Linked DNA regions of Drosophila melanogaster. The protein of the gene in region 2 interacts with the protein of the main gene of each other region in a pairwise test. Each region holds a gene or a part of one and is shown on either strand. Other genes may lie near its edges.

What was found. Proteins that work in one complex are often made in the same cells at the same time.
Region 1: the proteins of stan (region 2) and esn interact in a two-hybrid assay, tested with the Drosophila melanogaster proteins (one study listed by BioGRID).
Region 3: the proteins of stan (region 2) and fz interact in binary tests that used the Drosophila melanogaster proteins (3 or more experiments, as listed by UniProt).

Annotation. Positions count from the first base shown.
Region 1 is NT_033778.4:7,102,669-7,110,810, reverse strand, and holds the start of esn (espinas), read right to left. Parts: upstream 4,132-8,142; 5' UTR 3,870-4,131; coding exon 2,887-3,869; intron 1-2,886.
Region 2 is NT_033778.4:10,669,535-10,678,037, reverse strand, and holds the start of stan (starry night), read right to left. Parts: upstream 4,694-8,503; 5' UTR 4,069-4,693; intron 1-4,068. UniProt on the Drosophila melanogaster protein: Involved in the fz signaling pathway that controls wing tissue polarity. Also mediates homophilic cell adhesion. May play a role in initiating prehair morphogenesis. May play a critical role in tissue polarity and in formation of normal dendrite fields.
Region 3 is NT_037436.4:14,270,323-14,278,473, reverse strand, and holds the start of fz (frizzled), read right to left. Parts: upstream 4,132-8,151; 5' UTR 3,420-4,131; coding exon 2,748-3,419; intron 1-2,747. UniProt on the Drosophila melanogaster protein: Receptor for Wnt proteins.

The sequences.
Region 1 (8,142 bases), 3.6 Mb from region 2:
GCCAAACTGGTTATCGAAGTGCCCGACTCCCGATCGTGGCTAGAACACTTTACTTGGCTTACACACGCTCCCAATCAGCAACCTCTGACTTATTGCCACTAAATTGACTCCATCCTGATACGGAGCTCCTCGGAATTGTACATATGTAGCATATGTACCGCACAGGGCATCCAAGGAGAAAAGATAATCATAATCGGGCGGCAGAACAGGAAATATAATGAGCTTGCAAAGAAACGCCCTTCAATTTAGCCAGCTCCTCCCTCCCTTTCCCCTTTCCCCTTTGGCCCACGGCTTGTTTGGCTAATTTTATTTTGCGGTTTTCGATTTTATTTCATAAACACATTTCTGCTTTGCAAAATACTTAACCCTCCATCCCTCCCCTCCTTTGACCCGCCACTTCGAGATTATAAATTGAGTTTCCCCCAACTCGAGGCGAAATCAATCAACTCTTCTGTCTTCTTCTCCATTCACTTGTAAATCTTGTGTTTTGTTAATGCGTTTTATGGATTCTCGATTAGGTGTTGAATCAATAAAACGCGAGTTCTGACTTCCCAGCCACTTTAAGACAAAGATGGCTTATAAAACATTTGGCCCTGGGATTGTGTCACACTATAATGTGTGTGTCACTATAATAGGGGGTTGAATCTTCTGGAGAACAAGTTGTGGTTTTGATTGGCTTCGTTCGCTGACAGCCAGAGAAATTGCCCGAACGCCCAGCGAAAAAATAATTTGAAAATATGTAGAAAGAAGAAGAAAGGCCAAAGAAAATCAGATCCACTTCACTGAAGCGCTGAGCACCGAAGGGGCGTTACTTGATGTGTCCGCGAATCAGTTAAAGTCAGATTAAGCTCCCGCCCCTCACGACCATGCCTCTTCCCTACACGATTGTCGGCCTTTTGCCATTTCAATTAAAATGCCATATATCACGGCCAAAAGGCTTTCGCTCCAACTCCATTCCATTCCACTCGAATCCACTCGCAACTACTGCGCACATCGAATGCAATTAAAATCAAATGCGTAGCTCATTTTTAAATCACAGCAAATCGTAAACCGATAAGTCCGGAGTGAACCACTCGGGTGGTCCATGGACGCGGACTAGCCCCTCGCTTCTGGCCAACTTCAATTAGCCAGGCTGGCAAAAGAGGGCCGCCGGCGGTCCCAACTTATTTACTTTATTGTTGAGATTCCTATGCAAAGTGTTCGGCCGGCCAGGCGCTTAATTACGCTTTAAGTAGCCGCCAGTCAATATTGGGTTTGGTTTATTTAAACTGCGAATGTAATAGCCCCGCTGATTGCGAATGGCTCGAGAGGATGTGCATATGGATGTGGAACTGGAGGTGGAACTGGAGGTGGATGTGCGTCTCAAATTACAAAGTTCTGTTTAAGGGAAATTGATGGCGCACTCCTTCCACCAATATTTTATGGCTTCACCCAAAACAAAATCTAATTAACAGTTTGCGTAGATTTATGAACAGAAGTCCATGCAAATGAAGTCTGCATGCGGAATGCAGAGAATACAAAAGATGGAAGAGATGGCAGAAATGGCAAAGATGCCGAGGACCTGAAAGATCTGAAAGATCTGAAAGATACAGAATACCTTTTCGATGAAGGGCACTCAGTCAGGCGGCAAAAAGAACTCAATTTATGAAGTCGTCGGATGGAATTTATGAGGCTGCAGGATGCAAACACAAGGTGACGGGCGATCGGAGGAGAAGGACCTCGTGAGGATGGGCTCAGTGGACCCGAAGTTCTGCCAGCCTCGTTTAACCGCTGCTGTTGCCACTTAGCTGCATGCAATTCATTTTGCAGTTAACAAAACTCGACAGCGAGGCGAAGGAAGGAGCACGTGCTGGCCAGAAAGTTGATAAATAACTTTCCGGTGCCAGTTTTGCAAATAGTCGGGCATTAATAACACCTTCTTAGCGAGCCCACAAAGTCGCCTCCAGCTGACAGAGCCTCTTATGGCGGATTATTTGTGCCATTATTCGAGGGTGACCTGTAGGATTTGTACTCTCAGCGCAATTGAAACTGATACGCGTAGCCAACAACGGCTGTTGATCAGGTGAAAATGATAAACTCCGCTCTATTTATGAGCCGCCAAAGAGGTATGCCTTATCGTTCTGGATTCCTTAAGAAGTTCTGAAGAAATTAATTTATCCTAAACAATATGAAATCTAATAAGGGAAAGAAATGGCGATGGTGACAAAAATGACAACAGAAAAAAAGATCACGGGATTAATTCCATATTAACATTGCAAACTTCAAATGGGCTATAAACCCAAGGGCCAAAAACAACAATCGTGTCCATTGGTTTATTACCTTTTAAACAATTGCAATTGTAGTCGGTAAATTCGGTAAATTGTTTGGCCTTCGTACTTCTCTTTCAATAGTTGTAAAAACAACATTGGTAGAAAGTTGCAGACCCACATTTTCAACGGCAGCTAAAAGGTATTAAATTACCAAACACGAAAGCGGCCATTTTCAATATAACGAGTATTAACTCAACGTAAGTCGGAAATCTATAAAGCTGTCAGTGTGCCAGCCCATTTTAATGCGATCTGCCTTGCCTATAACTTCGAATAGCCAGTTTAATTTGAAGAACCATAAAGTATGATTCCAGTGGTTAGGAATAGAATCCTCCAGAACCCAACTGCTCCTCAACTCGGAGCACGGAGCACGGCTCATATGAAGCTATTAAGCAGCCATCAAATTGGGCCGTAAACTCTCTACTGCGACGCCCGTTTTATAGTCACTTAAATTGGGAAATGCAAAGCTCATCAAATGGATTTCAAATTAGTTGGCCACATTCCCGCCGACAACTCCGCTTTCCCTCGCCCACTTATCGCCGAGAGTTATGGCCATTAGAGATAGCCGGTGGAAACTCACATTTTGGGTGCTGTGGCTGCCGGCGGTGGCGGCCTCTTTGAGTGGCCATCAAATCTGGCCAATTGTTCTTCAATATCGCTGAGCTGGATATCGTCGGCAATGGCCTGGTTGAAGTAGCAGTTGGCCTTCCTCCTGCTCTTGTCCACCTCGAGGAGCTGCTCCGTATCCTTGGGATTTAGCCAAACGGCGTTCCTGTTGCGGCAGCGGTTCAGGTTCCTCAGATCGTCATATCGGAGGATCTGCTGCCCCTGGATCCTTGCTATCTGGGAGGGCGTTAAGCTGCCGGTCAGCATGGCCACCTCCACGTCATCGTCGGTCTCCCCGTTGCAGGAGATTCCCGAGGAGTGGAACTGATCCTCGCTGCTCAGCTTCCTCTGCACGCAGCCGGAGGATTGGGCCACGGCCATGGCCAAAGTGGGTGCAGGGGATTCGTTGGGCAGCTCCAGCGCTATTTCGTAGGGTGCTAGGGTGATCGTGGTGGCCTTTGGCTTGGTCTTGGTTCGCACTGCCGACTTGATGATGCACTTCGCAGGGGCGTTGCCCCGATGTTTGGAGCACGTGGACTTGCTACTCTGCTTCCTGGGCGTCAGTTTGGTCACCGTCGATAGCCGGGACTGCTGTCCAGCTCCTATCTGCGGCATTTTCGGCGGCTGAACCTGCTCCTCCAGCCGCTCCCGGCTGGCCAGGCGCTCCCTTTCCGCGGACACAGCCCGTCGGCGACTCCGCCGTATGCTGGGCATGTTCCGGGGGAACAGCTTGCCCGCCTCCGCCTGGGAGCTCTTGGAGAGACTGTCGCAGCTCCGGTGGCGGGTGGGACTGCCGCTGCTGGCGGTGGTGGTGGAGCTGTCGCTAATCGTGGTGGCCGTGTTGGCCAGCACTGAGGAGCACTCGCTCAGGTTGACGATGTCCCGGTAGTTCCTCGACTGATCCTGCTTGCCCACCTGCGGCAGCCGGATCTTCCACCAGCGCTTCTTCGAGAGCATCGCGGTGAGTGGAACGCACGTCAATCACGGGTCGCGGGCCAATCAATCAATTGACACATTAACGAACGGGGAACACCTTAAGCAGTTGGCAGGTATGCGGCGGCCTGCAATTACCGTCGCCAGCAATTAACGGGCGATCCGCTTGCTCCAATTACGTGCACTCGCGATCGGATTGATACGTATCGGCTGGGATTCTATCTGAATTCCTGGTTCGCGAAAGAACAGCACTCGCACCGCTCGCTTTGGGGCTGCTCAAACAACTGAAGATTGTAGAAAGTAGCTGTTGGCCGAAAGGCGGCTTTTGGCCAGGTTGGTGCAGGTCAAACTCACCACCAAGACGATCCAGCCAACTCACCACAGCTCTCTTTCTCTCATCTATATATCTCTCGCTCGCTCTTGTGGCCCAAGCAAGTGCAGGTAAAACAGGTGGCACAGGTGAGTCGAGTGGCTTTCGGTTGAGTGCTTCGGATTCGAGCCAGAATGTGGTGGCGTTTATTAGCCAGCTATTGAAGAGGCAGATTCTGGTAGCTGCAACTGGTTGATGCAGCTGTCTTCGGGCCATTTGACACATTTCAGGCCGTTTAGCGATTGACCCATTTCAATCACGGCCAACAAGGGAAGACCACGGCCAGCGTCCCTTGGGCGTTGTGTTACCACATTAGCAGCGCACTCATAGGTGGTCATTAGACTGCGGGCTTGGTGAAAATGTGGTAATCGGGTAAGGCCCCTCTCATGAAATCCATCCGTTTGCCCCGGAATGGAAATGAAGACGGGCGGATGGAACGTGGACGAGGGAACAAACCAATCATTGGAAATTAGGGTTTGTGGCTTCCCTATGCTGCACGGGACTCTCTTCTTGTGGCAGCACACGGACGGTAATGGAGTCGACACCGATTTCACATATTATTCAATTAACACGCAGCTACTGATTCATTGCAATTGAGGCTGAGCTAGAATTTACTAGCCAGTGCAATTATGTCCTGTTGATATTTGGGATAAGTATTCTTCAAAATGGTTTTTAGTTTAAAGTTATGTGGTGATTTTGATAATCGACTTAATAGATCAAAGACCAGTTTCACTTCCGAGGCATTCCACTAACTATCTCGGATATAAAAATGCTATGAAAATTATTTGCACAATATAAAATGTGTCTTTCGTTGAATTATTTTGAGTCGCTATATAAAGTGTCTCTCTCGATGAATTAATTAGAGCCGCTAACTTCTCACACTTTGCAATTATACTTTCTTCTCTGGCTACTAACAACCAGAAATAATTTAAAATTAGTGACCTTTACTACAAGCTAAAGGATTCAATTGAATTTTTAACTTACCTTCAAAACTCTCCCAAACGAATTGCCATTGCGAAGTTTGCGTTTTAACAAATTGTTTCACCAACTGCAATGAAAGACGAAAGTAAATAAATTAATTTCCCCATTTAACGTTAAATATTTGCACTCTCTTTCGACACTCAAAGAGTGATGGGCGAAATGGCCCAACTAATTGAGGACCAGGCCAGAAGAGAACAGCCAACATGAAGCGGCTGAAGGCAAACGAAATAAGCAAGTGACTGCCAAAAGTATTTTAATTGCCCGGAGTTTTCCGAAAAGAGGGGCGTCAAAACTTTATTTGACAGTTGGAACAACTGAACAATTCATGAAACAATTTTGATTAAAACCGAGACACACGGTCTCCAACTGGAGAAATGTCAGCGAAAGCAGTTGTCAGATGCCAGCAGCAGGTGAAAATTGGTGCACTGAGAACATTAGATGCTCAAGGTGATTGTATTATCATTATCGTTAGTAATCAATCATTGGTTGTATGGTCGATAGACAATGCCTTTAAGCTCCATTCAACTATAAAACTAACTTCTGAATTAGATTCACTACATTTCCCGACCACATCTTAAAGAAGGATGTTCTGCTTGATTTAAATGACAATATGAATACTCCTGACTGAATACTGTAAAGAAGTGAAAAGTGGGGATAATTTTTCCAAGTGTAGCCCTTTTCCCACTTTGGCCATGGCCAACAGGTTAAAGTCAACGTCATTGCAGCAGGAGCGCAAAAAACAACAAGCCCGAAAGTGACGCTAGTAAAACAACGACGATAATATCCTGCAGAGGTCGTAAAAGTTGAGATTTGAACGTGCAACGTACACGTGTAAGTCAAAAGTTGCCCCGGGCGGTGGGCGGTGGGCGATGGTCGGAGGAGGGGCGTGGCTGTTTGGCGCAGCTGCCGCCACTACGCGACACAAGATGGCGCTGCGTGGCACTAAAAAGTATTAAAACAATTTACACTTTGTAAAAAAGGCAGCAACGGGGCAATAACACCGACTGTTGTGCGGCTTGTCGCACGTGTCGCGTGGGGTGGGGGGTGTGTAGCTGTGGAGGGGTGGCTGTGTAGTGTTTTATTAATATTTTTTTCACTTGCCCCAAACAACATGGTGCCTGTCATAATCATAACTGTATCTCAGCGGCAAAGACAACGGGAAAATGGTAACAAAAATATAAGGAAATAAAATAAAATCAGGGTTGCCGTTGACAATCGCGTTATCATAATTCTCTTCTACTAAATTCAAATAGCATTTTCGCCTATTTGCATAAACAATGTGAAAGTCGTAAAGTGAAAAATTGCAAAATATATATAAAACACACAAGCGAGTGGGCAAAGGCAGTGGCAAAGAGAAAGGCAGGGCGAAAGCACTTCAAAAGGGGCGGATGGGCATAGATGGGCATAGAACGCGCAAAAAGTAAAGCTGCAATTGCTCGCTGAACAGTGAAGGCACAGTGGGGCAAATCGGTGAACCAAGGTGGTACTTAAGCCCCACAATGTTAAAAATTATATGTATATTCCAAACAAAAGTCTACTATGTATTTATTTATATAGATATGTGCTTGTGATATTTACGCTGGCATAGAATATACTTCGTTTCTAGCATATATTTCATATTTCACAATTATGTTCTTGAGGTTGGAGTTTTCTTCAAAATTCAATATATATTGTTGTAAGAATAACTAAATATTTAGTAAATTCATTTAAATATGAACTGTTCTAATAAGACAATCTTCGAATGGTTTAGTAAGCTTTCATCAATATTCCTATGGTTTTTATGACTTAAAATTAATTAAAATTTCGCATCTACGAATTGCGCATTGAACAGAATAACTTTACACTAACACTACATTCAATCAAATAACTTAAAGTTACCGTTAATTTTGTTAGCATTTTTGTACTATTCAAGGTGGAACCACAGTGTGCATCCTCTTGCGATTCTCTGGTTGCTTCCGCCATGGCATAAAAACCACCAACAGGGAGTCTTTTCAATGAAAAGCGAGGTGCGTAGCCCCAATCCGCTTGCCAATCTCGGCGGCTGTGCCTCCTCCTGCTCCTCCTGCCCCTCGTCTGACTTCCTCTTAAGACAATAAGCACTGGGCCAGGATGTTTGATGGGGAGTTGGGCTGGAAAGGCAGGCAGGAATCAGCGGGAGTCGCCACAATTCACACACTCGTGTGGCAGGAGTGTGTAGGCGGCAAATGTTTCCCTAATGATGACGTCGCTTATGAATTGTTGTCGCTGGCGGGGAAATGTGGCAAAAGATCTCAAGTGCTGCCTCCGTCGTATTTATGAAAAATATTGTTGCTCAGGGGTGGCGAAAACAACGGGTAGCTGGGAGGAGCAATGATTACGTTGATTTGCCAAATGGCGCTGATGACAGTCGGCGACTGAAGAGGCTCCGCAGAGCCAGCGACTACGTGAGTCTACTGATTTTTAATTAAAAACGCAAAAACACAAAAACCAAGCCGGTCGGAGGAAAACCACCCGAACCTCTGGGGGAGAGTGGAAAAAAACGAAGAAAGCGGGGCTCGGAAACAACAAGGAAAAACTCAAAGTGCGCGTCACAAGGTTTCCTTTTGTTAATCGACTTGATTGTAAATATTTTCTTGCATAAGCTCTGTTCCCTTACTCCTTCCAATCCTGTTCTGTCACTCCCCTATATTTGACTAAACAGAAGAAAATTTTATCAAAATATTCACTCAATTTAAAATTAAATGAAATCGTACAAACCCATAAATATATTTTAATAACTGCAAAGTATATATAACATCAGAGATTATTTAAAAGATTATCTTAAATATCACTAGACTGCTACTAGGCTTAATACTTTAGCTAAACCTAACTGAATTTTCCTCAATTGAAATGAATCCCCTTTAAGTTAAGGTTTTGTTTAAACTTTATAAAGTGATGTAACATTTTTTTCGGCCAGTGCTGGTTTGT
Region 2 (8,503 bases):
GACTATTTCTTTCAAATATTTTAAATAATAATAGGCTTATATACAACCTTAATAGCTATGTTATTTAAATAGCTAAAAGGCACTACTATATGTATCTGGGCCAATAAATATGAATTCAATACATTACATGGCTTAAAGACACAGGAACATTTATCAAATTTATTCGAAATTATTGATTGCCTATAAACCGATTAAATAAATTCTCGCCTATTCATTTCACAGTTTGGCCCAAATAGCAATTGCAGAATAAATACCTTTAATTAATAGATTATTTACAAAAGTTTAGCTGCAATGCAATCAATATATCCGCACTTTTAAGGTAATTATGTTGCATTGTAATAGTTTTACTCAGAATAATGAGAACTTAATTTTCAGGTGGTAGACAATTAAACTTGCTAATCAATTTACGTTTGATAACTAATCTTCAATCGGCGTATTAATTTGCCACATACATATATCGAATTTGAATTGAAGGCAAAGAGTTCCGTCCCAATTTAAAGTGACTTATTCTTCCTAATGAGAAGCACAACGTCATTCACTTAATTTGACAGCCCGATCTGCCCGGCGGCCTCCATACGTGCATCCGCCCACCCAAATTGATAAGTCTAATTAATGCAATTGAAACAAATTTCTAGCATGCAAATCGACGGCACGGCACACATCTCTGGGCTCCCTGGCGTTTGGGCATACTCTGGATGCTTGGACATGCCTCATTAGCCAAAGTGCCACAAACTTTGGCTCCTCTAATTGAATTAACACTAATGAGGTCTCTCGCACACTCTCGAACTTCTGAATCACCCGATGCCGAGCTTGCCGATCCCGATTCCAGCGACGTGTGAATTCCTATTCCCCATCTGCAAGGGAATGGAACATCCTTTTTGCCACATTATTCATGCATTTGCCAACCGCAACCCAAAAACCACCCGCTCTACTTGACGTGATAGTGAATTTAGCAAAAACTAAAAACATCGTTTGGGGGGGGGGGGGGGCGGATGCGCCTGATGTGCAGGGCTGTCAATCAATCAATTTGGGCATCCAGCCATGGACAGGGTTGCCACCACACCGCTTCGGTTGCTTTGAACATGCGAGATTTTAGTTTGCCAACGGCCAAACAAGCTGTAATTTCATCGAGCAAGGACACTAAATTCCAGATTCTAATTGACGCATAAATATGGTAAATTCAATTTGTTTAGTTCATACAACTTCTGAAAGCCGGCATTTTATTAAATATAAATTAAATTCATTTTATTTCATGTTTTTAAGACATGGTCTTTCGAGTAAACAAAATAAACGTAAGTCAATATGGAATATAACAAGGCATTAAGCTTTTGCAGTTCAAACTTAGATATTTCATTGAAAGAAAACAATTTCACATAATATTTTTCCTGGGCATTGCGTTGATAGTTGATAGATAGCTTTTCGGAGCTAAGTAAATATTTAATTGGTATATGCTTTCACAGCCAGCATTCATAATTCATTTCGTGTATTAGACTTTTCCACCTGTTGAGCATCCGAAATACAATTATTAACGAAACCAAATCAATATCTAATTTCAACGGAGGAGCCCAGAGAAACATAGCCAACCAAATGCCATCAATCATGCGATAGACGCCGCATGACATAACCTATCCAGCTGCGTCTGGATTTGCTTCCATCTGTATTTGTATATGTAAATGTATCTGACTGTTTTTTTTTTCGGCTGTATCTACGGACCACTGCTGCCGTATAAAACTGAACCGTACGTGTGTATATGCATCAATTAAGCTTTTATTCTAACATAACAATTTTGAATGTGGCCGAAACCAGTTTTGAGTGCGCGACCAAGAGGGCCGATGCCTACGCAGAAGTATCTCATGGATAGCCGTGTGAGTAGTGGCCAAGAGAGGCCACCATAAACCCACAAAAGATACCGAAAAATGTGGACCATCAACGTCATCAATGAATCTCTGGTGTGTGCACACGAATTCGTCCAACTCCATGCCATGCAAATCTCATTTGGCCATTGGCCCTCTGATTCTGTAATAAATTCCACAATAGACTGTTGATATTTTGATGGACTCAAGCCGGTCACAAATCAGCCACATTAACTGGCACGAGACAGCATTCAAATGTTAATTAATCAAGAGTCATAACGAGTTTTCCTATGCCGGCATGGATATCGAATGGATTGACTGAGGTTAGTTCGCCGTGCGAGTTGGCTATTCGCAGTGAATGTGGCATCAGAAGCCGGAAAAAATCACCTTTTTCGTTGGCTCCTTGGCCAACTGAAGTCTTAACTGATCACTTCGAACTCAAAAAAACAAAAAACATAACCAATGAAAAACAGGTTGCGGCTACCGAAGAAGAAGAGGATGCGTTCTGGTCAGGATGATGGCCCGTAGCGGATCTGCCTGCCGGTGGTGGATTGCTCCTAACCTGGCCGAGACAGCTGCAAAACCGCGAAGAGAGCCAGGCGCTAACAAACTCATTTTAAGCACGGTAAAATATTTTATTTACCTACTTTTTCTTAAATTTTATTCAAGTAATTCCTCTACTACAACTTAATCTTTATATCCGCAATTATTTGATTTCAAATATAAATGGATTAAACTCATTCTACACATATTTCAAGAAAACAGCCTATTGTAAAAATTAAAGGATAACACCTTAAGCCTTTAACTCTTAATATTAATCGTCTTATAAAATATAATAGAACGACATTTGATGTTTTTGTGTGTAACTAAACTTGGATCACATAATTAACCTAAGTAAATAACTTTTTTTTCTCTGCACCAGCCGCAAGAAGAATGGGAAAAGGTTGGTAACACGCCGAGAAAGAGAGACAGAGAGAGCTAGAGAGAGGCAGGGAGAAAGGGGTCGAACGAGGAGCAGTAGCAGAAAACCAGTCTTACAACAATTTTTCAGCTACTTGCCACTGGCAGGCTCAAAATGGACTTGACTTGACTCTTCCAATTGCACCAAACACACCGCATTCCAACTAGAAAATCATAAAACATAAATGTGCGAGAGTATCTGGCCCCCATCGAAATATAACAAAGGCCCTGTTAATGGCCTCGAAAATAAAATCTATCTTAATAAATTGGCAATCCGACAAAACTGAGTCGAGTGAATAATGTATCCAGCAGATAAGTTTGTCCCGGCCTGCTGAAATATTTATGCGCCAGACAAAGGGCGCAGAAACAAAGATACAAACGCAATGGCAAAGGCAAAATCCCATGGACAAGTGTGAAATGCAGGGAAAACAAAGCACTTGCAACGCTCAGATACAGATACATTTGTATCTCGTGCAGGCATTTGATTCCACGATTCCCCGATTCCGATTTCGGTTATGTTTTGACCCAACTCTTCTCCTTTCTCTCCTCGCGCTCTCCGCGTTTTTGACCCACGTTTTAATGTGACTTTTATTGTGCTTCCTCCTTTTGTTGTCTCATTTGGTATTCAGTTTAATGTTTGTTTAGAGCTTCGCGTTTGTATCTTTTTGCGATGGCTCTGAACTTTAACAGTTGCACTGTGTGAGCGTCGGACTTCGACTTCGACTTCGGCCATCGGCCAACTGTTTGGGCCAACTGCTAATTGGAGATGGCCAAGAAAGAGGCCTTAGGTTTAAAGGCCCAATTGGAGCTCTATTTTATTGCCGAAGCCCTAGAGCTGAAAGCCGTTAATTAAGAACGTCTTAAATCGAAACATTTCAGAGGTAGCCAGAACCACTAAGCGTCTTTCCATATCATATAACAAATAAAGGTTCTAGCAATATTTCATACAGGCCCCCATTTATATGCAGATACAAAATACTTTTCTAGAGCTTATAACCCTTTGAAAATATGAATTACGCGATTCCGCTATGGCGTAAGCCCTTAAATACGAAGTTTATCTAAGAGATTTAAGGCCACGCCTGCGGAACATATAGTGTCCTGTTGGAACGACACCTGTCATACGTCATGAATCAGGTGTCATGCGTCGCACAATTCCCATTAGAATGCAGCCGCATCCCGCCCACAAGGACATATGTATATGCGCGAGCACATGCACATATCCTTGATATATCCTGGCTGGAACGTGTGAACTTACAGGCTTTTGTTTGCTCTGCCGCTGAATTTCCACGCGTGGGTGGCCAATAATCCGCTTTAGCTGCACGGCTGCATTGTTAAATATTTATAATATTGCATTTAAAATCGCGCATCCGTGTTGTTTCCTCTGCGTGAATCTTGTGTTTGTATTATTAACACAATATATTATAATTAGCACTCGCCAGTTTGTGTGACTGGCCTCACTCTAGAGCACTGTTTAAACTGATTTAACTATTTTGATTCCGGGAAATTCGAATAATTCGAATGCTAAACCGACTATAACCCCGACCGTTAAGCTGGGCGGCTAAAAAAAGGGGGTGGTTGTTGGAAAAGCCAACGCACTTTTCTGAAAACAGCAGGCGAAGAAAAGACCGCGCGCTAAAATTCACTGAGAGCGAGGATTGTTGTATGTTGTGTTGGCGAAAAACCGGTAATTTCGACCGTCGAAGTTGTTACTTTGGGTTTGCGTTTACCTCTGCCTTTTGGCTTTGCACTTGCCTTTGCATTTGTCTTTGCTTTTGACTTTGCAGAGACGCGCACGCGTAGCCCCGAGTGAAAAATAATACCGTTCTTGCTGGCCAAACGCTCAAAACGCGTCCAATCGGTCCGGAGTCGCAGTGGTAACTGGCAAAACCAGAAACAGAAACTGAGTTTCTTGCTAAAACTCAGTTGGAAGCCGAAGCGAGTTCGTGTATCCGATGGATACTTTCGTCGGTGGTGGATTTTCTGCGGGGGGTGACTGCGTGTTGCAGCAACATTGCCGCGACTGTTGCAACATGTTGCGGCAGCAGAGAGAGGTGCCACCAAATTTCGGTTTGCATCCCCGAGCATAAAAACGTGCAATTTGATCCAGGATTCTTCAACCTGTAGGATATTCAATCTTTGGAAACTTCGAAAGTCTTTTTCTTATCAGTAAATTAGTTTTGCAGCACGCTTTGCATGCTCAAAGATTTAAATCGACTCAATTTATTAAATGTGATATTTATATAATTTTACTACTATTTATTAAATAAATGTTAAATAAATGTGTTATCTGTGCATCGGGCCAACACCTGTAATCGGAATTAGTTTGCGAATCTAAAGATGGTGGAACATTATCCCTTACGGGTAAAACTTGAACATAAAATTGCTAACTTATAAATTTACATGTGGTGTATTCATTTGTTAATATTAATAAATAATATTCCATATAGCCTAGTTTTTGTGTCCCACCAATAATAATTCATTTTCTGTTGAACGCCTTGGTTTGAAAACTAAATAAACAAACAAACATATTATTTGGCATAATTAAGCGATAGTCTAAATCAACGCAATTTATGTTCAGAAACATAATATGCTAAAAGTTCACTGTCAAAACCAAAAATGTAGTACACCATTAAAACCGACCAAATGACCGTTTTCCATGTTATGATGAGGTTCAAGTGTCAAGAGCTGTTAAGTGAATAGTTTCAATTACGAAGCCATTAGGGATGAATCATTATTCCAATTGGGATCTATACATAGGTATGCCAGAAATTCGCATGTTCCTGCTTGCCATTCGATTAGATTTCAGTTTATCGAATTATGCAAAATATTTAATGCAATTTTGGTTGGCAGAATTCGGCAGCAGTGATAAACATATGCTGGGACCCAGAAACCGAACAAGCTTTTGGCCCACAAGGACAACAGTCGTGGGTAATGGCTACGCTGGTAGATGTATGTATGTGTCGGCGGAATTTATAGCTTACAGGAAGGTGTTGGCCAAGACATCGTCGTTTGGCCAACAACTCGCATTTGGCCAGCTGACGTGGTCCGAATACTTCCGAATAGCAACGAATCGAAGGGATTTTGGGAGGAATCGAAGGAATAGGAGAATAGGAGACCGAAATGGGGGTTTCTTGCATGTAATTGACATTGGCCCCTTGCGTTTGATTAATTGCATTTGGTTGAGGCTCTTCCAAGCCATTGACTCGGAATGCTCTGAATTCCCCCATTGATCTGTATCCGTGTCTATGTAACCTTGTGGCCATGTGTAGCTAGCTGCATCCGTAATCTGTAACCGTTTCAATTTGTATCTGTGTGCTTTTTGCGGGGCAATAAATTCGACATGTTCGACATGCTTTCCAATTACTGAGCGCTGGCATTAAACAAATGCAGCACACTTGACACACGTCGAAAGCCGGCAGCCCTTTTCGGAGATCGGAGTTGGAAGATGGGTTATCAGGAGGGAACAAGGCCAAACCTCCACGATTCAGCGTGTCCAGCCAAGCAGGCCAAACACTTGGAAAAATATCACTTCGAGGAATTTTGTTTAAATAAGCAAAGTCCGATTTTTGTATTCAATATAAATAAACAATCTGAGAGTAGTAAAAAAATATGTAAAATGCACTCAACGTATCAGCGTCTTCTTGTTTATGTGGCACATTTTTGTTTGGATTGAGTGGCTATCCATCCATAGTGTCCACATCTTTCTCTCTCTGCAGGACGAAGACACTTGTCTCTGCATTTGGTTTATGCAAGTGCCGCCTGCGAGCGATATAAAAACGCAGGAAGGGGAGGAAGGCGAAGGGGTTTTGCTGCCGCTTCACTGAACCTCAATGTGCGCAAGGATGAGATGGGAGGTTGGTTAGTGGGCGTAGAGGTCAGGGTGTTCAGTGGGTGGCGCTGAGTGGGGGGGGGGTTGGGGGCGTGTGGGATCGGAAGAAACATAACTCAACAATGCAAAGGACGAGCAGCGGGCAAAAAGCGCAAAGCAAGCCAAGGAGCCACAGGCTGCATCTTCAGAAGGAGCAATTTGAGCGTTCTTTCGCTCGACAAACGCTGCCCATGCATAGTTTATGATCCCCCCTCTCATATCTATGCATTTTGCTGAATTAAACCAACTGCACAGAATGTCGCAGATAATTCAATGCACCTACCTACACACAGCACAGTTTTATGGCTCTCATTGTCATCCCCGTTCTCGTCCTCGCAGCGTTATCCTGCAATGTGGAGGAGTCGAAAAGTGCCACGAGGGTAATTTAAAAATCCATTTGTGTTTTGAGATTTCGCCGGCAGGACCTGGGAGATGTAAGCTGGCCAACAATTGCGGTTAGCGGTGTGTAGAAAAAAATACGGGAAAAAAAATGAATGAAATAGGAAAAGGCATGCTGGAAAATTGGCGAGTGCGGAAAATGGAAAATGCGAACGTCAAATGCCCGACTTGACTGCGTGACACAATTTCAATTTGCATTGACAGCATGAATTATAGCAAATAATCCCCGCCGGCAAATGCGATTTTAGTGATGCCAGGAGCTTCAGTTTTCCAGCTATCCAACTTGCCAGTTTCCCAGTTCTTTCCGACCCAGGTCAAGCTATTTTCCTGGGAGCAGGGAGCCGGGAATTCGAGGTCCATCTGTTATTGATATGGAAATGATGCGCACACCAAAAATAGAATGCCGCTCGAGGAAAAACAAGCAATCTTGCAAAAATAAAGCAAAGCAAAGGACGCGACTCGAAATGAAATAAAATAAAACAGCGGCAATAAAAGCAAATATAATTTAAATTTTATGCAACGGCAAGGAAAGTTAATTTTGCCCAACAGAATGGGGAAAAAAACGCAAAAAAAAGGGGGGGCAGATAGCTACTGGAAAAGAAAGAGAAATAGAAAAATAGAAAAGAAATTGTGAAAATTGTGGAGAGAGCTAATGAGGAGAAAGCCAAAAGCACAAATATGAGTGGACGATAGATAACCAAAAATTCTCCTAAAATGGCAATTTAAGCTTAAATTTCACAAGTATTTTACCCAAAGTGAACGAAAATCGTTAAACATTCAATACATCCAAATGCGATGATCTAACTTTGAAACCAAATTAATTTATGCATAGCGAGTGGCGCAATCCTGCAAAATTTTCTCAAGATTATTTTTTTGACAGCACAGAGCTCCGAAAATTATACTACGCTTTTTATCCCGATTGATTGACCTGGCCTGAATAAATTCAGAGCTGAGAAATTTTAGTTTATACTTCTAGGAATTATATACTCTTATTCCATTTAGTATTTAAAGATAAAATGTTTTTCTGATTAGAAGAAAAACTCGGATTGCTTCTAATAATTAACCATATTGTTATCTATACAAATTTTCACACTCCTGAAAAGATCTGCAGTACTTATGTAGTTATTTACTCCAAATATCAGCTGTCTGATGCTTTACTCTACTCCACAGGATTTCTAATTATTTTTGCCAATTTTCCGTGGCTTCCTAGAGAGAGAAGATCTCTTTACAATCACAACATTCCGCCAACGAAACGTGGCAATGCGAGCACTCCACTAACTAACCACCTGAACTACTGAGTCCTGCGGCTGCCCTCTCCTTTCCGCCCACCATGCCTCATTTTAACCCATTTACCTGGGCTTCACACCTGCATCATCTAAATTAGCGCACTACGCGCCACGCCATTGCCACCTGGGAAACTCCG
Region 3 (8,151 bases), on a different chromosome or scaffold from region 2:
CCGGCCATCATTATCCCTTTTCCGTGTCGAATTCCACCGAAACGTATACCATTAGATGACGTCAAAACCTTTTCAGAGCAAACAGATTACTGCGGGGCAATGTCCGATTGATGGCTACATGTGTAGACAACTGGGCAACCAGACGAACGCCACCCACCGCCCACCGCCCACTTTTATCCAGAATGCCCGTGCCCCGATTGCAAACACCGCCTAACCCATGGCGGCCGAAAATAAATTAATCAAAGAGCGCGAAAGGACAACAGTTTAGTTTGCGGAAAGGCGGGAAGGATTTCAGTTTGGTTGTTTAGGAAATCGTAAATCCATTAAAAGCCTCATTTAGAACGCTTTCGACGCATTTAGAGGGGGTGAAGTGAAAGAGAATCAGTCCGATTTGGGGATTATTTGTAGGCCCTAAATTGATTCATCCGGAGCGGAGACTCGCCCCCAACCAGGACTTTTAATTGTGAACGAATCCGTAATTGATTGTGCCCTCTTATGACTGCTGGCTTTCCACTCAGTTTCCTTTCAGATGGAAAACAGATTTTCCTACCCCGCACCGCAGCCTTTGCATAATGGATTCGGGGCAAGAAAAGGCCAAGAAAAAGGACTGTGAAATGCGGCAAAAGGGTTGAGTTGTGTCATGCCCTACGGGTTTTCGCCTATGATTATTTCAGCACAGACTGAGGGAATTTTCAACTAATTCCATTCGGCATTTCGCACTCTAATTCATCCGGCCGTGTTTTGCCCTTTGGTTTGGGTAATTGATTTGCGAAATTACATATTTTGTATGCCAGATTTTTGTTGGCACGAATTTCAACGAGAGTGACTGGTTAATTTAGTCAAAAAGGTCTGACTGACAAGCAAATCGGAAAATTTCAAAGAGGAAAATTGAAAAATTAGCCCAGATGAATGGAATTAATATTTAATATACTCTGCTGAATTTAGGAAACATGTTAAAAGTTGGCTTTGGGTTAAATCGTTCAAAGGTGTCGGGCAATAATGTTATTTTAGGAATTCGAGATGAAATAGCCAATCGACAATTGTGTTTTCACAGCTCGGTTTGAATAGAATAACTTTTAGTAATAGTCTTTTCTAATATCAATCAATATTTCTCTGGGTTAAAATATAGTTCTTTGTCTATTAATCATAAAGTTTATAATTTTGATTTCGACCAATTTCTTATCTGTACCTGTGGAGCCCTTATAAAACGCTTGTTAATACCACTAGTTTCTAACATGGCAATTATATGTTTATATTGTCGGATCATTATCTATCCAATAAGCATTAATTCACGCTCTCACACTGCGCCATTATCATTAGCAGACAAAGAGACCTATCTAGCTCATAAAGCACGGCAAACAGGGCCAAAACACACAGAGATACAGATACGGATTCATTTGCAGATACTCTTACAGACAGAATCGTGATGTGGGCCAAATGCAATCCAGGCAAACAAGCTGCTAAATTTCGCACGCAGCTCTCAAAAGGCATTTAAGCACGGGGTCTGGGGACTCCGGCTAAACCAAAGATGCTGACAGCCATGATGATATGGGGATGGAAAGAAGGCAGCAAGGCCAAGAGGAACTGATGACACACAGCCAAGGAAAAACGAGACCAATCAAGAAAAAGCGAGTGAGACGAAAGAAGAAAAAACACCGAGAAATCGCAATGGTAAAGTAGCTAAGAGATACACATGTATCCGCCAGATATCCAGACACTGAGGGAAGTGTGAATTATCCTGCCTCAAAGTATTTAATGCGCTTTACTTATGGCAGCCGGCAACAACAGAGTGACGGCTAAAAATAGCAAAAGATAAACACATTGGAAACACATAGACGATGATCATCACTCATCCAAAACCAACAGAAAATAAATCGTGGAAAAATCAGTCTGCTGAGGGGCTTAAGAACCCGAAAAAAAGCTGCTAAAGGAAAAGGGTGGAAAATTAATTAAAGAACGTGAAAATGCAACAGGCTGACCCTCAGTTCAAGTTATTAAACATTCTATGGTTCATGTTACATTTTTTTTTTACTTTTTTTGGGAATACTTTTAAGCAGGCATTACAAATTACACAACTCCAAAAAGAACTGGTTTACCTTTCCTCAACCGAAGCCAAAGAAAAAACGATCTACCTGCCGCTGTTAACCATCTTTTGTGAGCTGCGGGCAGGTAGAATGCGGGCTCGTCGCCCTTCTCTCCTTCTTCTCGTTATTCCTGGCCTGCCAAGGACCTCCTGCTGTTTTCCCTGGTGGTTGGAAATTGTTTTCTCGGCGCAACAGGATTTGCATTTTTCCCTACTTCTACGCTGCTCTACAAATTGAGTCTGGAGTTCAAATGAAGACATAAAAAAATCATTGACCTACATGGGACCAACCCAAATGTGGCATATTAAGTTCCAGAAATAAACGAAATACTCACTAAAAGGCTTGGGGTACTTAAAGCATACATTTAGTCAAGAAAGCGCTAAATACATTCGCTAAACAGATGTTAGTACCCAAAATTTATTTGTGCAACTTCGTTTTTAGTTTGGACATGGTTAAAAGTTTGTGCTCACCCGACGGATGATTATAGAACTTGTTTTTAACTTTTGTCATAATCATAACATGTTTAATCATAAAATTAAATGCATAAATAATAGAAAACTAATGTTTTAAAAGGTATACAGTATGCGCCTATAACCCCCTATTTTTATATGATGCTTATTTTTCGGCGCTTTTTAGTGAATTTATTTTCATTAAAGAACTTACCTTTCCGCCAACTTTTAGTTCGTAGCCCATTCCCAGAGGCGTTTTCAGTTGCACGGGGCACACGAATCCAATGTTTCGGTGCGGACTTTCTACGCCCGTCTGGTGTTTACGGGTAGTGACCTTAGCCACACTCCTTGTGGGCGTGGCCGCCGTGGAGGCCGATGATGTGGTATTCTCCGCCACGCACAAATCCTCGCCTCCATGGACGGGAAATTTGGAGCACTCCAGATTTTCCGGCCAGTTAAAGTTGTAGGTTTTCATTAACTTTTCACATACCCGCGCCGATTCGCACAGAGATCGACAAGGCGGAATGGGTCGCTCCAAAATTGTGCAGACCGGAACGTACAGGGAACAGAGGAACAACTGGAGGTCATCACTGCAGCCGATCTTCACGAGCGGAGCAAACTGATGGACCTCCAGACCCGCCTCCTCCTGCTTGGTATGGCCAATAAGATTTGGCATAATGGTCATGTTATATGGTATATTCTTGCAGATCGATATGGTGATGGGTTCACAGCGATTGTGATGTGGCAGTCCATCTAGTTCGGTCCCAGAACTGGCCATTAATCCCCCGCCGCTGCGATAATACGGACTCGCATCGAGGGGGCTCTGATCGTAGCGCTGGACCCCCTGTATCAGGGTGGGTAAAATAAACAGGATTTGACGCCACATTTTGGAATTTTTCGATATCGCTGTCAAATAACTTTTGGGGCTTTTTCTCGATCTCTTTAAACACTTTAAAACACACACATGTTGCTCATCTACTTGCACTCACTTATACACCATTGAATACTTATTTGATTTATTTTCCCTGTTTAAAAACTTCACTCCCACGAAACACTTAACACCTTTTAAATATTTGCCGGCGGCAAATATTTAGTTTGGCCTTATAAGCAAATAATAAATATTTCTCTCTATTCTCTTATTTGCGTTTGCTTTTGCTCTTTATTTTGTTTAGACTTTTTTTGTTATTTTCCGACTTCAATTTGGTTTAACCGTTTGAATTCGACTTTGCTATTTGTTGTTGGCAAAATATTATTGTGTCAAAATTTAATTTTTGGGGGTCTTTAGGACTTAGTAGCGTTGGCTTTTATCTGGCACAGTACCGGGCTTTACTTTTCTAGCAGCCACATTTTTATCTTGCTGTATGCACATACATAAGTACCGTTAGCTGTATATCATTTATGCCTCCCCCGCTTTTTGAATTTCCTTATTTCTTTCACTTTTTCGAAAACCGCGCAAAAAAATAACTGAACAAACACGGAGTCGAATTCAACTTTTTCGCACGGGACTTACGTTAAAAGACGAAAACGGAGCCGGAGTTCGAGTCGAAATCAATCCGCGAGCACATCCGCATGGTAGGGCATACGCTGACAAACTGAGGAACTGAAAACATGGGGCTCTTTCCAAGCCGCTCTCTCACCGTATCGTTCTCCTGCTCACACGCTGAATATGCGCTCTTTCGCTCGAATGGTGTGAGAGGAGGTTTTATTCAGCTATACGCTTTGTAGTATAGCACTGGGGGCGACCTTGAATTTGACACTCTCGGCGGGAGAGCCAGAGAGCCAAAGAGAGCGAAGTGAAAGACAGGGCTGTTATGCCTTTTGTTTGGATGCTGTCTCGCTCGCACTCTGTCTCCTCTCAACTTCTTGGCCTCCTGTTGATTAGCAGACAGGAAAAAGAAAGCATCAACAAACAACTAAATAAGAGACCATTTAATTAATTAGAATTCAAGATGATTATGCAATCGACAGGGCTAATAGGAAATTAGGGGCGGAAGCTGTGCCCAAATCTAGGTGTTGGGCCCGCTCAATGGAAATTTGAACATCGATATTCACTTTGTAAATACTTAAATATTTATAGATTCCAATTTAAATATTAATTAATTAACCATTTTTTCGATATAATAAATTATAACCAATCTTATGCTTATAAAATGAATAAAAGAAATAAGTGCTGCATTTAAAATGGCTCCAATATAAAAAGACTAGAATCATTTTGCCAGCAAAAAATCCTTGCTGAAATGGGATACATATCCGAAAACGAAATGAGTATACAACATTTATGTCCGAATGTCAAAAAGTTACAGTGCATGTCAGCTAAATATTTTTCAGTTTCTAAAATGTCATATTGCTTAGGTCACCGCACCTTCTTATCTTTTTATATCAATCCATCGATGCCCGTTACACTTCCCACTGTTCTTTGGTAATCTTCAGCTGTTGCAAGTGCCGTTAGAAGACATTTGCCCTCTACTGGAATATACCTATAATAATTGCTTTTCTCCAGCTTTCTTCCTCTATAGAAATACATATTTGCACGCGTTAATTTCCTTGATTTCTGCGACAATTTTTATCGTCGACCATTTCTCTGCGCACTTGCATTTACCATTTATCTTTATCTTTAGTTTTTGCTGTTGTTTGTTTACTTGCTCGCTTTTTTCCGGCAGTTAATTAAGTCATTAACTTGCGTTTAATCTGAGCTTTAGCATGAGTGAAGAGAACTTATCGCGGGAATTTGTCTAATGACCCCGTGGTGGATCGCCAAGGGAGGTGTGGGGGGTTAGGCATCTGCTGCCAGTCAATAAACTTGTTATATTGACAATAATGATGACATTAAAGGAGTCTTGGCAGTCTTTTGTCTTTGTCACCTGTAGAACCCTTTTCTCCGATCAGGCTTTCTCTGTCTCTGTCGCTCTCTACTTAACATATCTCTTTCAGCACATAACTGGCTCTCCCGCACTCTCTTTTGCGTTAAACAAGTGTTACCGGTTTAGCCGGCAAAGTTCATTTTATGCTTTGCTCTTTTTATCCGCTCTCTTCTTGGCTCCATCAACCCCAGTTCTCCCCCACCGCCACCTCCTCATCCTATTCTTCGCTTCTACACTTCGTCGGCTTGTTTAATAAAAAGCGCCAAAGTTGCGCCGCATAAAAAGGCTCTTTTTCTCGGTCTCCCCCTTGCAATCGCTAGATACACTTAACAAAAAATTAAAGTACAATTTTCAGATAAATAAGCAGTGCACTTTTAAAATCACTTATATACTATAATAATAAACAAACATATAATTTATAATTTCCGTAGAGGAGCTTGGAATATGTTAAAGGCTACTACTACTAACGATTTTAAGCTGTCTAAGCACATATCTTTCGAATTTCTTCGCTTTAAGATAAAATTTCCCATCAATTCATTATTTACATATATGATAATATTTATGAGTAGATTTTTACTACGATGTGTGGTTACATATCACAAATTTAAATTAAATATTGATATAAATTTTTTTCCAGTGCATGTATGTCTTGGCTTCTGGGTCTCCATTGTTGTTGTTCAGTCGGTTTCCGTTTGCCGCTTGTTGTTGGTATTGCTGCTGTTTTGCAGTTGCCGCTCATTTTATGTTTACAAGTGAACGAACTTTGACGTTTTGCTCTGTGCCTCTCTTTCTCTGTCTGTCTGTGCTCCTCTTCCGCTCCCACTCCTTTGTTGGAAAGTGATTCCGTTGTTGTTGTCATTCTGCCGTGTCTGTTTTTGGAATATGTAATTTAATGTAATTAAAATGGTATAAAGGGTAAAAATAACACCCCGAATGCAGATGAACTTCATTAGATAAGCGAAAGGAAAATTGAATTAGCAGCGACTTCTTTCTCACCTATTTTCATTCATGCTGTTTAGGGAATAATTGGTTTTAATGGCAGTTAATAAGGGTTTTAGGAAGCATGCTATTTATGGAAATTAGAACTTAGAACAAGCCTTTAATAAATTCTTTATTTCCTTTTTATTACTACTACTATAAACTTGGTAGTGCAAAATCGTTTTAACAAAAATTCTTATATATGTAAATCTTATGCTTTAAATCCAAACGATTAAAATGCAAATAAGTTATTAACAAAAATGAAACGTTTAAAAAACTTTTTTCTGAGTGCAGATATTTTTTTTTTTTTTTTTTTTTTTTTTTTTTTAACTTTGCTTTTATTTATTGAATCTTCTTGTATAAGAACTAACAATAAGTTTAAAAATCTTAACTATAACAAGTATTTTTTGAACAGTTGTATTATTTTTCCAACTGTTCTATGTTTAAACGGCCCTAATAATTTATTCGCTGGGTTGGTAGGTCCTTTCGCCGGAGACGGGAACGGCTGCTGAGCTGGATTAGACCTCGCGCTAGGTGGTTGGGGTGCGTGTGAAGCTTGCTATGGTATTTTTCCTTAAGTTCCGTGATTGCGTTGGTAACTGATGGGATATTTAAGTCTCTTTGGATGTTTTCACTCCGAACGTACCACGGTGCCCCAGTGATGGTTCTCAGAATCTTTGATTGTGCTCGCTGAATGATGTCAATATTGCTGTTGCTGGCATTGCCCCATAACTGTGAGCCATAGGTCCAGATTGGTTTCAATATAGAATTGTAGAGCAAGACCTTGTGATCTAGGCTGAGCGGAGAACCAGAGTTGATGAGCCAGTGTAAGTTGTTGGCTTTGAGTTTAAGTTGGGTTTTTTTGGCTTCAATGTGCCTGCGCCATGTGAGTCTTCTGTCTAGGTGTACTCCTAGGTACGTTACCTCGTCTGCTTTCGGGAGTGGTATGCTGTTCAACAAGAGCGGAGGACAGTCTTGTCTGTTTAGCGTAAACGTCACGTGCTTGCATTTTTGCTCGTTTACTTTTATTCGCCAGTCAGAGAGCCACTTCTCAATGTCGATGAGGTACAGTGCCAACTGTGCTGTAGCTTGGATAGGGGACCTTGAACGGCTAAGGATAGCTGTATCGTCGGCAAATGTGGATACCGTTAAGCGACTATTTGTAGGGATGTCGGCTGTATAGATGAGGTATAAGGTTGGCCCAAGAACGCTGCCTTGGGGGACTCCAGCCTCAATTGTATGAACAGTGGAAGTGGCAGTGTTGCACCGCACTGCAAACTTTCTGTCATAGAGGTAAGACTTTAGAAGTTTGTGTGTGCTTTCGGGTAGGGATATTTTAATTTTAAACATTAGGCCGTCGAGCCAGACTTTGTCGAATGCTTGGGATACGTCTAAAAATACTGCTGTACAGTATTCGCGATATTCAAATGCAGTTCTTATTTCCGTTGTAATACGATTCACCTGTTCAATGGTTCCAGTGGCTTTCGCGAAATCCAAATTGGTGGGCTGGGATTATATTGTGGTATATCAGATGTTGATTAAGTCGGATCAGCAGGCATTTTTCGAATAGTTTCGAAATGCATGAGAGTAGACTTATTGGTCTGTAAGATGAAGCGACTGTGTGGTTCTTACCAGGCTTTGGAATCATTATGATCTTCATCATCTTCCATCGTTGTGGAAAGTAACCAAGTTTGGTGATGGCATTAAAGAGCTTGGTTATGTAGCGAACTGCAGAATGTGGCAGCTGGATGATCATTTCCGGTGTTATAAGGTCGCAGC